Linked DNA regions of Macaca fascicularis. The protein of the gene in region 3 purifies or fractionates together with the protein of the main gene of each other region. This does not show direct contact. Links are inferred from orthologs where the notes say so. Each region holds a gene or a part of one and is shown on either strand. Other genes may lie near its edges.

The links.
Region 1: the proteins of EDC4 (region 3) and XRN1 purify together in Homo sapiens (co-immunoprecipitation; 4 studies listed by BioGRID and IntAct, with this or other methods). This does not show direct contact. The link is inferred for Macaca fascicularis from reciprocal best matches to the Homo sapiens genes EDC4 and XRN1.
Region 2: the proteins of EDC4 (region 3) and EDC3 purify together in Homo sapiens (affinity purification with mass spectrometry; 6 studies listed by BioGRID and IntAct, with this or other methods). This does not show direct contact. The link is inferred for Macaca fascicularis from reciprocal best matches to the Homo sapiens genes EDC4 and EDC3.

Annotation. Positions count from the first base shown.
Region 1 is NC_088376.1:45,200,230-45,203,877, forward strand, and holds part of XRN1 (5'-3' exoribonuclease 1), read right to left. Parts: intron 3,372-3,648; coding exon 3,273-3,371; intron 1,366-3,272; coding exon of another isoform or gene 1,294-1,365; exon of another isoform or gene 1,232-1,293; intron 1,165-1,231; coding exon 1,049-1,164; intron 509-1,048; coding exon 362-508; intron 1-361. UniProt on the Homo sapiens protein: Major 5'-3' exoribonuclease involved in mRNA decay. Required for the 5'-3'-processing of the G4 tetraplex-containing DNA and RNA substrates. The kinetic of hydrolysis is faster for G4 RNA tetraplex than for G4 DNA tetraplex and monomeric RNA tetraplex.
Region 2 is NC_088381.1:51,751,594-51,755,241, forward strand, and holds part of EDC3 (enhancer of mRNA-decapping protein 3), read right to left. Parts: intron 3,107-3,648; coding exon 2,953-3,106; intron 1-2,952. UniProt on the Homo sapiens protein: Binds single-stranded RNA. Involved in the process of mRNA degradation and in the positive regulation of mRNA decapping. May play a role in spermiogenesis and oogenesis.
Region 3 is NC_088394.1:63,931,347-63,934,994, reverse strand, and holds part of EDC4 (enhancer of mRNA-decapping protein 4), read right to left. Parts: intron 3,384-3,648; exon of another isoform or gene 3,284-3,383; intron 3,177-3,283; coding exon 3,020-3,176; intron 2,633-3,019; coding exon 2,521-2,632; intron 2,249-2,520; coding exon 2,149-2,248; intron 1,897-2,148; coding exon 1,707-1,896; intron 1,605-1,706; coding exon 1,457-1,604; intron 1,373-1,456; coding exon 1,268-1,372; intron 950-1,267; coding exon 840-949; intron 756-839; coding exon 672-755; intron 580-671; coding exon 484-579; intron 379-483; coding exon 276-378; intron 159-275; coding exon 1-158. UniProt on the Homo sapiens protein: In the process of mRNA degradation, seems to play a role in mRNA decapping. Component of a complex containing DCP2 and DCP1A which functions in decapping of ARE-containing mRNAs. Promotes complex formation between DCP1A and DCP2.

The DNA.
Region 1 (3,648 bases), on a different chromosome or scaffold from region 3:
CTACAAAGTTCTAAGAATCAGAAAAAATCCACTATGCTAAGAGCTTTGTTTATCCATATCAGTCCTCTCAGTGCTGACACAGGTATGCAAAGTAGTGAACAATTTATGATAGTAAGTTAAGAAAAATTTTAACTAAGGAGGCCAATTCTCATTACATACTTTCTTTTTAATAACATGGTATTTTTCTACTCAATTTTAGCTAGTGGCTATGATAATCCATGATGCAAAATTAAGTTTACATGTAACATATGCCAGATTTTACTAATGGAAATATTTGTCCACTAAAACTAATGTAAGCAAAAAAATAAACAGTATTTTCCTAAGATTCTGGATGACTACTAGGATCTTATTAGGTACTTACCTCTCTAAGTACTCTGCCAGAAGTTGTTCTGCTGCAGATGAATACATCCATTCACTTCCAACTTTCTTGGTATATCCAGGTACCTCCTCATTTTTCTTGTTGAATTTGAGATTTAAACCCACATTTGCTTTATGGTCTCCATGAGGGCTGAATTTAAACCACACATGCACGCACGTGCACACACACACACACACACACACACACACACACACGTTTTAAAATATTGTTCAAGGAATAAAAAGTTTTGCTTTCAATTCTTAGAAAAGCTCAGTTTTGATTATTCTTCTATATTTTAGTTATTATGGTTATTTCCAAAGTAGCAGTAATTGAAAAACTAGAAGAAAAGCTTCAAAACCCAAGTTAACAAAGCATGTAAATAAATTATGTAACTATAGAGGAAAATGAAATAACAAGATGCAAGGAAATATACTACTGAGGTTCACACACACCCTCTGATACCTTTTTTCAAGGTTCAATTTATTAGCTGCTAAAAAATAAGAACTGTCTTTTCCAACCACCTAAAACATGTGCCATTCAGATGAAAGATTACCATCAGAGAAATTTATGCACAATTTTAAGACAATTCAGAGCAATTAATAAGAAAATAAATACTGAAATATTAAGCATTTAATCTTTATCATTTAATTTTTCTGCCACTTTAAGTAAATTTCTCTAACATAAACTTACTTTCTCCTAGATCCTCTTCCAATAAAAATACTTCCTGTAAACCTTGAAACAAGGTATCCACTCACTCCAAGGCGACTGGCCAACACATATCCTGGGTTGTACTTTATAGAATATTTCTTTAAATATAAAAACAAAAAGGTCAATTATGGAAACACAAGTTTACATTAAATGTTATTTCTTTACCTTTAAAATCTGGAGATAATCAAGACATCACTAACCATTGGATTGTGGCAATATAAGGATTTTCACTTAGATCCATTTCCCCTTTTTTTTGAAAGGATCTGTAGGCAGAATTTTTCTGCTCCTCTCTCTTTCTCCTTAAAGGACAGAATTCCCAAGGATGGATAAAAGGGGGGAGGAAATATACAGTTTGTGAAACTGTCTTAAGAAATAAACTCTACTGTAAGTACTAAATGGCAAACTCCACAGGCAACTTTTTTGTTTGTTTTTGTTTCTACTAATTTTCATATTCCAAGCAGGGCCTAGCAAAGTACTTGGGACAAAATGAGGCCTCAATAATTACTAGACTGAATTAAAAAACAGGTACGTCATCAAAATAGTTGCTACTGAGAAAAACTAAAAGTGTCCTTCATATATGGATATAAGTAATATTCTTTTCCCCTAATATTTACTATCATATGAAAATATACAAGCATGTATAGACCCATAATTAATACAGTCAATGAAATGTAACCTTAATTTATATACTTAAGGGAAGAAAACATATTGTCACATTAAAAAAAGTAAGTAACAGATCATATAATATTTAAACAGGAAGCAAATGACTGATGAATCTAATACTAACTAGGATAAACTACCATATACTCCTAACATCATGTACATAACAATAAAATATACTTAAGAACATAATCAGATTGAGCAATAATCTAATACAAATCAAGTATGCTTTCCAGAAGAGTTCAAAGAATTATGGTAGTAGGTCTCAAACATAAGTAGCAACACTTTTCTAACAAGCATTTAGAAATGTGTAGAGGCACATTTAATTACCATAACTGGCATGGGCTACTAGTACTTAATGCCCTTGAGCCAAAGATGCCAACTGTCCTGCCATATACAAAACAGTTTTATTTAATACATAACTGTCCTGCCCAAATGGCCAATAGTACTCCTTTTGAGAAATAATGGGTTTTGCTATAATTTAAAATTCATTAAAACCATCACAAACATCCTAGAAAATATAAAATAAGTAGCTGAGAATGTTGTGGTAGAAAAAGAAGGCAGCTGGAGTGAAAGTTAAACGTATGTAAAGAGACAGAAACCAAACTGAAGAAGGCATGCCCATCAACACTGTATACTACTATACAAGAGGACAGGCTCTTCGAGATCTAGAAAAAGCCAGGGATGAAGGAACACAAGTTCTTTAACCTTCACTGATTCCCAGTACAAATCTCCAGCTACTTTATTTAATGAGCCACTCTCCTGGTTTCCTGACTATGCTGTCTAAATTTGTTCTTCAAATGGCACCAGATGGTAAGATTTTAGGGATGACTGTCTTCCATACATAAAGTTTCCTCATGGGTGTGCTGATATGTAATGCCTTAAATTCATTTCACAGGATATAAAGCTTTACATTTTACTATTAGTGTGAGAAAAAAACCCCTAAGTAGCAATAGTTGGTTGATTGTGAATTAATTTTAGCTAATTATCCAACCAATCAATAAGAACAAATGACAGATATCAGAACCTTCCCTCTGTTTTAACAGGAGATAAGAAAGCCAGTGGAATTTTTTGGTGAGAAAGTCCTGAAAAAGATGCTGTTAACTTAAATGCATTTTTCCAATATTCTTTAGAATTGAGACCGTTCATTCTTAGCTGAGTGGATACATACAGCCTTTGCAGAAAGGCCATTTGTCACTTGCAACTAAAAATGCAGGCTCTGAATTATTATGAAAGGTTTAAAACACCTAAATCTATTCCCAGAGAGTGTGCTAATCAATGTGCATCTTATAAGCTTGAACACAATAATCCCTAACAATCACTATGGATTAATAATTGGATATCAGTGATTTCCCCCCATAAAGGTCTACATGAAGTTTTGAGCACAGATTCCACACTGATTTTTAAACAGCAGCTGCAACTGGGAGAGAGAATCTAATCAGTATTAAATAAAATATCTGAAATAAATTCAAATGAGGTGGCAAAAATATCCTAATATTTTAAGATTATCAATTCAAAATGCAACGATACAAACTACTGTACTCACATGCTGGTTCTGTATTAAAGCATCAAGATTGGGTTCACATGGAATGCTGAAAATCACACGAATCCTACCTTCTGTAATCACATCACCTGAATCCTGCACCTTAGAAGAAAAAAAAAATCACAGTATAGTCTCTTTCAGTATATTTTATTTTTTAACTTATTTGAACACTATTATTTTTGAAATACAGTATGACAAGTTGGATAGTGGAAATTCTCTTGAAATTTGTTAACTGGGTATGAAAATACTGTAAATTTGAGTCACTGTATCATTGCTTTAATGGTTAACTTCTTTTGAGACAGGATCTACAATACTGTAAATTTGAGTCACTGTATCATTGCTTTAATGGTTGTTAATTTCTTTTTTCTTCTTTTGTTTT
Region 2 (3,648 bases), on a different chromosome or scaffold from region 3:
ACAAGCCAAGGACCAGGTTCCATTTCACAAATAGGGAAGAGGCCCTGTGGGAAGCAACATCCTATCATGTGAGGCTTTGGATCTGTGAGTGCTGCTCAGGGAAAAGAGGCTTTCCTTGCCCCACTGAACCCAGATCTGCCCTGCTCCTTGGAAGCCACCTCCCCACTCCAGACACCAGTCTCCCACAAGGTTGCCCACATCCTCCTCTTTACTGACAAAGCCAATAGGCACTTGTCAACTCTAATTTTGATTGATCTATCGGCAGTACCACTGCCAGCCATTCCTTTTGACTTCAAATACTATTTCCTTGGTTCTTACACGCTACCCTCTTGGTTTCTTACCTCTCTTGCTTTCTTCTTCATCCTCCTAACTGTGCCCTACATGCCGATGTTCCCCAGAATCCCACCCTAGGCCCTTTCTTTTCACACCTTCTCACATGATCTCATCTACTCTTACACCATCTACAAGCTGACAACTCTCAAATCTCTAGCATCAGCTCAGACCCTTTTCTGAACTTCAGACTTTTTTTTCTTTTTTTTCTGAGATGGAGTCTTGCTCTTGTTGCCCAGGCTGGAGTGCAGTGGTGTGATCTCGGCTCACTGCAACCTTCTCCTCCCAGCTTCAAGCAATTCTCCTGCCTCAGCCTCATTAGTAGCTGGGACTATAGGCACCTGCCATCACGCCTAGCTAATTTTTATATTTTTAGTAGAGATCACCATTTCACCATGTTGGCCAGGCTGGTTTTGAACTCCTGACCTCAAGTGATCTGCCCACCTTGGCTTCCCGAAGTGCAGGAATTACGGGTGTGAGCCACCATGCCTGGCCTAAATTTCAGATCCTTATAGCTAAGAGACTATTTGGATATCTTACAGGTATTCCAAACTCAACACATCCAAAACAAAACCCACAATCTCTCTCAAACCTGCTCTTCTTCCCATGTTTCCTATCACAGTGAATGTGTACCATCATCCAATCAGATGTCCAGGCTAGAAAGCTTGAAGTTCACTGATTTCTGACACTATAGTTTCCATCACCTCTAAAATCCATTCAATTACCTTGTCCTGCTGAATTTACCTTAACAACAAACCCTCATCTGCCCACTTCTCTTTCTTTTTTTAAAAGAGACAAGGTCATATAAAAAAAAAAAGAGAGAAAGAGAGACAGACAAGGTCTCACTATGTTGCCCAGGCTGGCCTCAAACTCCTAGGCTCAAGCAATCCTCCCACCCCAGCCTCTGGAGTAGCTGGGATATAGGCATGCATCACCAAACCTATTTGTACACTTTTCTGATCCCTGCTTCCCTAGTTGGGCCACCATCATTTGGGCCCTGGCTCAGTTTTCTAAGTGTTGCAGTTTTCTACCTGATCTCACTGCTTTCAGTCTTGCCTCCACTGAATCTACTGTCCTCATTGTAGCTAAAAATCATCTTTTTAAAACACAAGACTAACCATGTCATAGCTCTACTGAAATCTCTTCAGCAGCTCCCTACCACTCAGCTATACTGAGGCCCTACTTTCCAGCGACAGAGTAACTTACAGATTGCCAACAATTCCATGGTCTCTTGATTCTCTCTGCCCTTGACACATGCTACTTCCTGTACTTAGAATACCTTCTTCTTGGCCAGGTGCGATGGCTCACACCTGTAATTCCAGCACTTTGGGAGGCAGAGGCGCGCAGATTACCTGAGGCCAAAAGTTTGGGACCAGCCTGGACAACATGGCGAAACCCTGTCTCTATCAAAAACACAAAAAAATTAGCCGTGCATGGTGGCACATGCCTGCAGTCTCAGCTACTTCGTAAGGCTGAGGTGGGAGAATCGATCAAACTCGGGAGGTGGAAGTTGCAGTGAGCTGAGATTGTGCCACTGTGCTCCAGCCTGGGTGACAGAGTGAGAACCTATCTTAAAAAAAAAAAAAAGAGGCCGGGCGCGGTGGCTCAAGCCTGTAATCCCAGCACTTTGGGAGGCCGAGGCGGGCGGATCACAAGGTCAGGAGATCGAGACCACAGTGAAACCCCGTCTCTACTAAAAAAAAAATACAAAAAATTAGCCGGGCGCGGTGGCGGGCGCCTGTAGTCCCAGCTACTCAGGAGGCTGAGGCAGGAGAATGGCAGGAACCCGGGAGGCGGAGCTTGCAGTGAGCCGAGATCGCGCCACTGCACTCCAGCCTGGGCAACAGCGTGAGACTCCGTCTCAAAAAAAAAAAAAAAAAAAAAAAAAGAATGCCTTCCTCTTTCTTGCTTGCCCCTGCTAACCACCCCTTGTTCATCAGGGCTCTGCTTGGATGCCAGTGCTCCAGAAGCGTGACTGGTTTCTCCAGCCCGCGGCAATAATATGGCTTACTGGAGAATTTTGTTCCCTCTATCACAGCACTAGACTCTCTAGAGACCTCACTGGGCTACTGGAGGAAAGGTGTAGTATTTTATTCTTCGTGTCCCCAGTGTCTAGCAGAAGGTCTGGCACCTGGTATCAGTCTGTCCACAAATAAGGCACTGCCCTTGATATATGAGCATAAAGGGCAGGTGGGAAGGTGCCAAACTCCAGCTCCCCTACTCAGTTGTCAGTGTGGTTCTGGAAGTTCTCAGATATGGAGACTGATTTGCATCCCAGCCACGTAAAGTAAATGATGAGTGCCAAAGGCCAGGTCTCCGAAGGTTCCTAGAAGGAAGGCTTCTGATAGTTAGCAGGAGTCTCAGGCCAGATGGCGGCTATCAGGAAACAGAGGGTCAAAAGGCAGTTTGCCAGCAGAAGAATGAGGACATCTAGGAGATGGGTCTAAGGAGGGGCAAAGAAACCTCGCAGCATCCAAGAAAGTGACTTCAGAGAGATACTCCCATCAGATGGGCAGAAAACTGCCTAATGAACTCATCTGTGTGTATGGGAGGCTCTGTGATGGTGGCCAAGCAGAGCATCCTCACTCCACATTGAGTCCCTGCCAGTTTACAGGCATTTACCTGTTGGGTCCTCCGAGGAGGGTCAGTGCCATCTGACTGGCACACACACCTGTCATCTCCAGTCTCCGCTCCAGGGTCAGCCCATGCTTCTCAGCCACGGACAACAGCTTTTTATGTAGCTCATAGGAAACACTTGGGACAACCAGGCCAGAGTCTGCAGTTCAAAAGGAGAAGAGAAAGGGAAAGTGACTACAGAAACCAGGTCCAAACTGGGTATACTCTATCCAAGATTCTGCAAATGCCAACATTTTACCATGGACCACCCTCTGGCCCATCCTCTTCATCTTCCAGGACTAAGGCACACTCTGAGTAGTGAATGGTGAACCAAGTAACAACTTGTTCCAGGTCACCACAGAGTGGGGACAAACTTAAGCTCCCTTAGCAGTTTAGCTTTAGACCACGAAAGCCAAATCTACCAGGATATATTTAGTGCTATCGAGACCAGCACACAGCCGGTAATAGCAACCTATCAGGCACAAGAGAAGAGAACATGATTTTCCCAAAGTGGGGGAAATGCCATCTTGGGCAGCAGGGTTTCCTCACAAGCAGGTGCCTTGTCCTTCCTGAGAAGTGGAACAGACACAGACACTAGCTAACCCTGATGGCCCTCTGGTCCCTGCTGTTCTCCTCAACTGTAGGGCAGGAGGACTTGTTCCATCTGCTTCCCTCTTCCTCTTCCTTCTCTCTTCTATTTAC
Region 3 (3,648 bases):
TCCTCGGCAGGCAGCACCTCAGTGTGCCGTAGCCGGCAGCGACTCACAACCTGGATACCGAAGCTCAGCACAGGGTGGGTGAGCAGGAACTCCGAGATGGAGCTGAAGCAGGCATGGCCCTCCTCCTGGTTCTGCAGCAGCTCCATCACATAGAGGACCTGCACAGGCAGAACGTTCCTAGCTGAGCTCAGAGGCTAAGGGCTGCAATGCGCCACCTGCCCCCCGGCCTTCCTCTATAATCCCAGCTCTGCCCAGGGTACCCCATGGCAGCCTACCTTCCGTTGCACATCGCTGAGAATCAGGTATTCTGCTGAGAGGTCCAAGCAAACCTTGAGGCTAGGGGGCACACTCACTGAGCTGAAGATATCTGGGGAGAAGCTAGAGAGCCACAAAGCAGAGTGAATGAGGCTGAGAACTGAAGGAAGCCACATTCCCAACCCTGCTGCCCCTGCCCAGTCCCCCAGCCTTCCAACTACTCCTTACCGAATAGTCTGCAGGCAGGTCCAGGACACCGTACACCACATCTTTAGCTCTCGGTTCTGGTCAGCACCAGTAATAAGGAACCTCCAGAAAGGGACACTGCAAGGCAACAAGGCACTGACTGGCTGGCTGGGCCGCCTGCTGGGAGCCATGGTCCAGCCCACCACCCACTAGGCTGCCCACTCACTCACTCAGGGTCTTGTTTCTTATGGTTGTCACAGAACAGGAGGCAGGAGAGGGGCCGCCCATCATGAGGCTTCCACTCGTGCAGACACCTGCAGGTAGGCAGATGAGGGGCCTGAGTGAGCAGTCCGGTCGGCTACCTCGGGAGGATCCTGGTCCCTGAGGCCCTGCCTTACCTTGGCTCATCTTGCCCCTCAATGTAGATCTGCCAGAACTTGACATAGCCATCATGGCTCGCAGTAGCCAGCACAGTCCCATCAGGGGAGAGGGCTCCTTCACTGAGGCACTAGAAAGAACCCAAAAAGCTTTGCTGACTAGAGGTGAGAACAAGTCCCTCCCAAGTGAGGATGGTAATGAGCTGGACTGACTCATGGTGGGACTGGCATGCTTGTGTGACTGACTGAATGAACAGGGTCCCTAGAGAAGGCCAGACCTGCAGGGTGCTGTGAGGTAAGGAGAAAACTGCACAGGCAAGGGCCACTTTGAGCTCAGAGTCCCCATGGACAGAATGCTAGTAAAGCTGCCCGGACAGCTGTGGATATAGGGAACAGAGGACGGATATGAGGAAAGAGAGGGCAGGGGAGGCAGGCAGTCACAGGCTTACCGTGCTATGACCTTTTACCACAATGAAGCCCTGCTTGATCTGGCTGACATCCACAGGCCAAGTGCTGTGGCTGGAGCGGAGCATGTCCAGGTCCCACACCTCAGCCTGGAAGGCACAGAGAGGTGAGTGTGCAGCCCATCCCCACACTATGGCTTCTCTGGCGCCTCCTCGCCATGCCAGCCCCCTCACCCGGTCTTCATGCAGCAGGGCCACCGTCGGGCTGCTCTCCTCACAGCAGTCCTCGCTCTCCTCAGGGATGAAGGGGCACCAGATGATCCTGCGAAAGTGGTTCAGTGGCGTGCCCTCTGGCTGCCGGATATGGACCAAGATCTCTTCTCTGAGCAGGGTGTTAAGGGCTAGATAGGTGAATGAAGAGGCATGACACCCCAGCTCCGCCCACCCTTCTTCAGTCCCACCACCCACGGGAAGGAATGGATACTGAATTTTGCCATTAACCAGAGCCAAGCGCCACACGAACAGGTTGCCTGCCTCATCCAGGCAGGCCAGCTGTGGAGAGTTGAGGTGTGCAAAAGCCAGATCAGCCACACTGCCTGTGAAGCCCTTGAGCAAGGTCCGCTCCGAAGTGCTGACACTGATCACCCGCACCATGGCGGAGCCATTGTTGGCAGCTGGAATCAGGAGAGCAGTGGACCATGAGTACACATCCAGGCTCAGGCAGCAGCAGAGAAGCGCTGCCCCTGTCTGTCTCCTGCCACCACCATAGTCGCAAGCTTGGTTTTCCCACCCAGCTCCCCAAGAGGCAGCATGGACAAACCTTCCATTGTACCCCTAAGGCCTGAGTGGCCTGATGTTGGAACTGGCTCTGTTGGACGTCCAGCATAGGAGGAAGGACGTCCTTCCTCCCCACTGTCTTTACTCACCCCGAATGGCATAGGCCAAGAAGGAGTTAGACACAGCAATCAGGTTGCCATAGTAGTACTTCTGCTCCCAGTCATACTTGGCGACAGGCTGAATTTTCACCTGAGAACCCAGGGTAAGAAAAGTCATGGAACTTCCCTAGAGCCTAGGTGGCCCCCAACATCCCTGGGGATGGGAGAGGACACAGATGCAAGTCCAGCTACCCACTGTTACCTCCTGGAGCCAGACTCCCACAGAGGCTTGGCACCCAGCCCTGGCTTCCTGAAACTGGGAAAGTGTCAAGGTGGCCCCACAGGAACTGGCAGCATGAGGGAGACCGGAAAGGCTGGGTGTGCCCCTATACATTATATATGCCACAGCATCCTAGTACCTACCTTGTTGCTTCCCCGGGCCTTGCTTGAAATGCTAGAGTCACTGCTGGCCACAATCTCCACCTCCTTGGCCAAAATCCCAATGCAGGTGGAGCTATCATCTCCTGAGAGACAGCTGTGGGGAAGAGTGCAAAAACTTTGTCTCTTGTTCACCCAAAGGCTCAATGGGCAGGGACGGGAGGAAGCGAGGACATAGCCAGCCTGGTAAAGGTATCTAGTCCAATGTCAGCTTTGCCTGGTACACTGGCCCCAGACCCACAGCTCCGCTTGCTCACCTCCTTCCTTGGGAATGAGTCTACTTTCATTTTAAACCAGGTATCCAGGCCAAACCCTTGAGCTTGTCCTTGCCTCTCATCCTAGTGCAAGCTCAAGCCCCATCCCAGGTCATCTAGAGAGGAAGCAGCAGAGGCCGCTGGCCCTGCTCACTCCCCATCTCATGGCTTCAGCTAGGAAGACACCCCAAACACACCATCACCACCATTGTCGTCTCCTAGGTACTCACATGACCTGCTTCTCTTGCAGGTTAATGGGTGGCATGGTCCGAAGACCAGTCTTGTTTGTTGAGGTACCATCACCTGAGCAGAGCGGGTCTGGGACCAGAAGCCCATTGAGGTCCCCATTGTAGGCACTGGATGGCCGTGGGCTCTCTGCACTGGGGCCTGGGGACAGAGAGGGTCACTCTGATAAGGTTGCTCGACCTGCCCACAAGCTTCTCCCCTTGCAGAATTTCCTTCAAGAACTATGAGGTGTTCTAGGAACACTCAACTGAGCAAAGCATGTCCATGAGGAGGAGGGCCCTGTGTTCATCTCTCGTTCCATAAACGCTGACGTATGCAGGACCAAGGATGAGCATGAGGCTCTTCTGCCTGGGGGAGGGGTACAAGCCATCAAGGACCCTTTGAGGCCAGTTAATACTCAGGCCTGGGTTACTACAGAACTCTGTGGACTCTGAGTGAGGGCATAGGAACGGTCAGGAAAGACTTTATACAGCAGTTAGTGTGGCCAGAACACACAAACACAGGAAGGATGGAGGGAAAACAAAGCTGCAGAGGCATCAGGTATGATGCTGTGGCACTTAGACTCTTCCCTGTGGGCCATGAGAACCATAAAGAGTTTCAAAGGGGAAGGTGA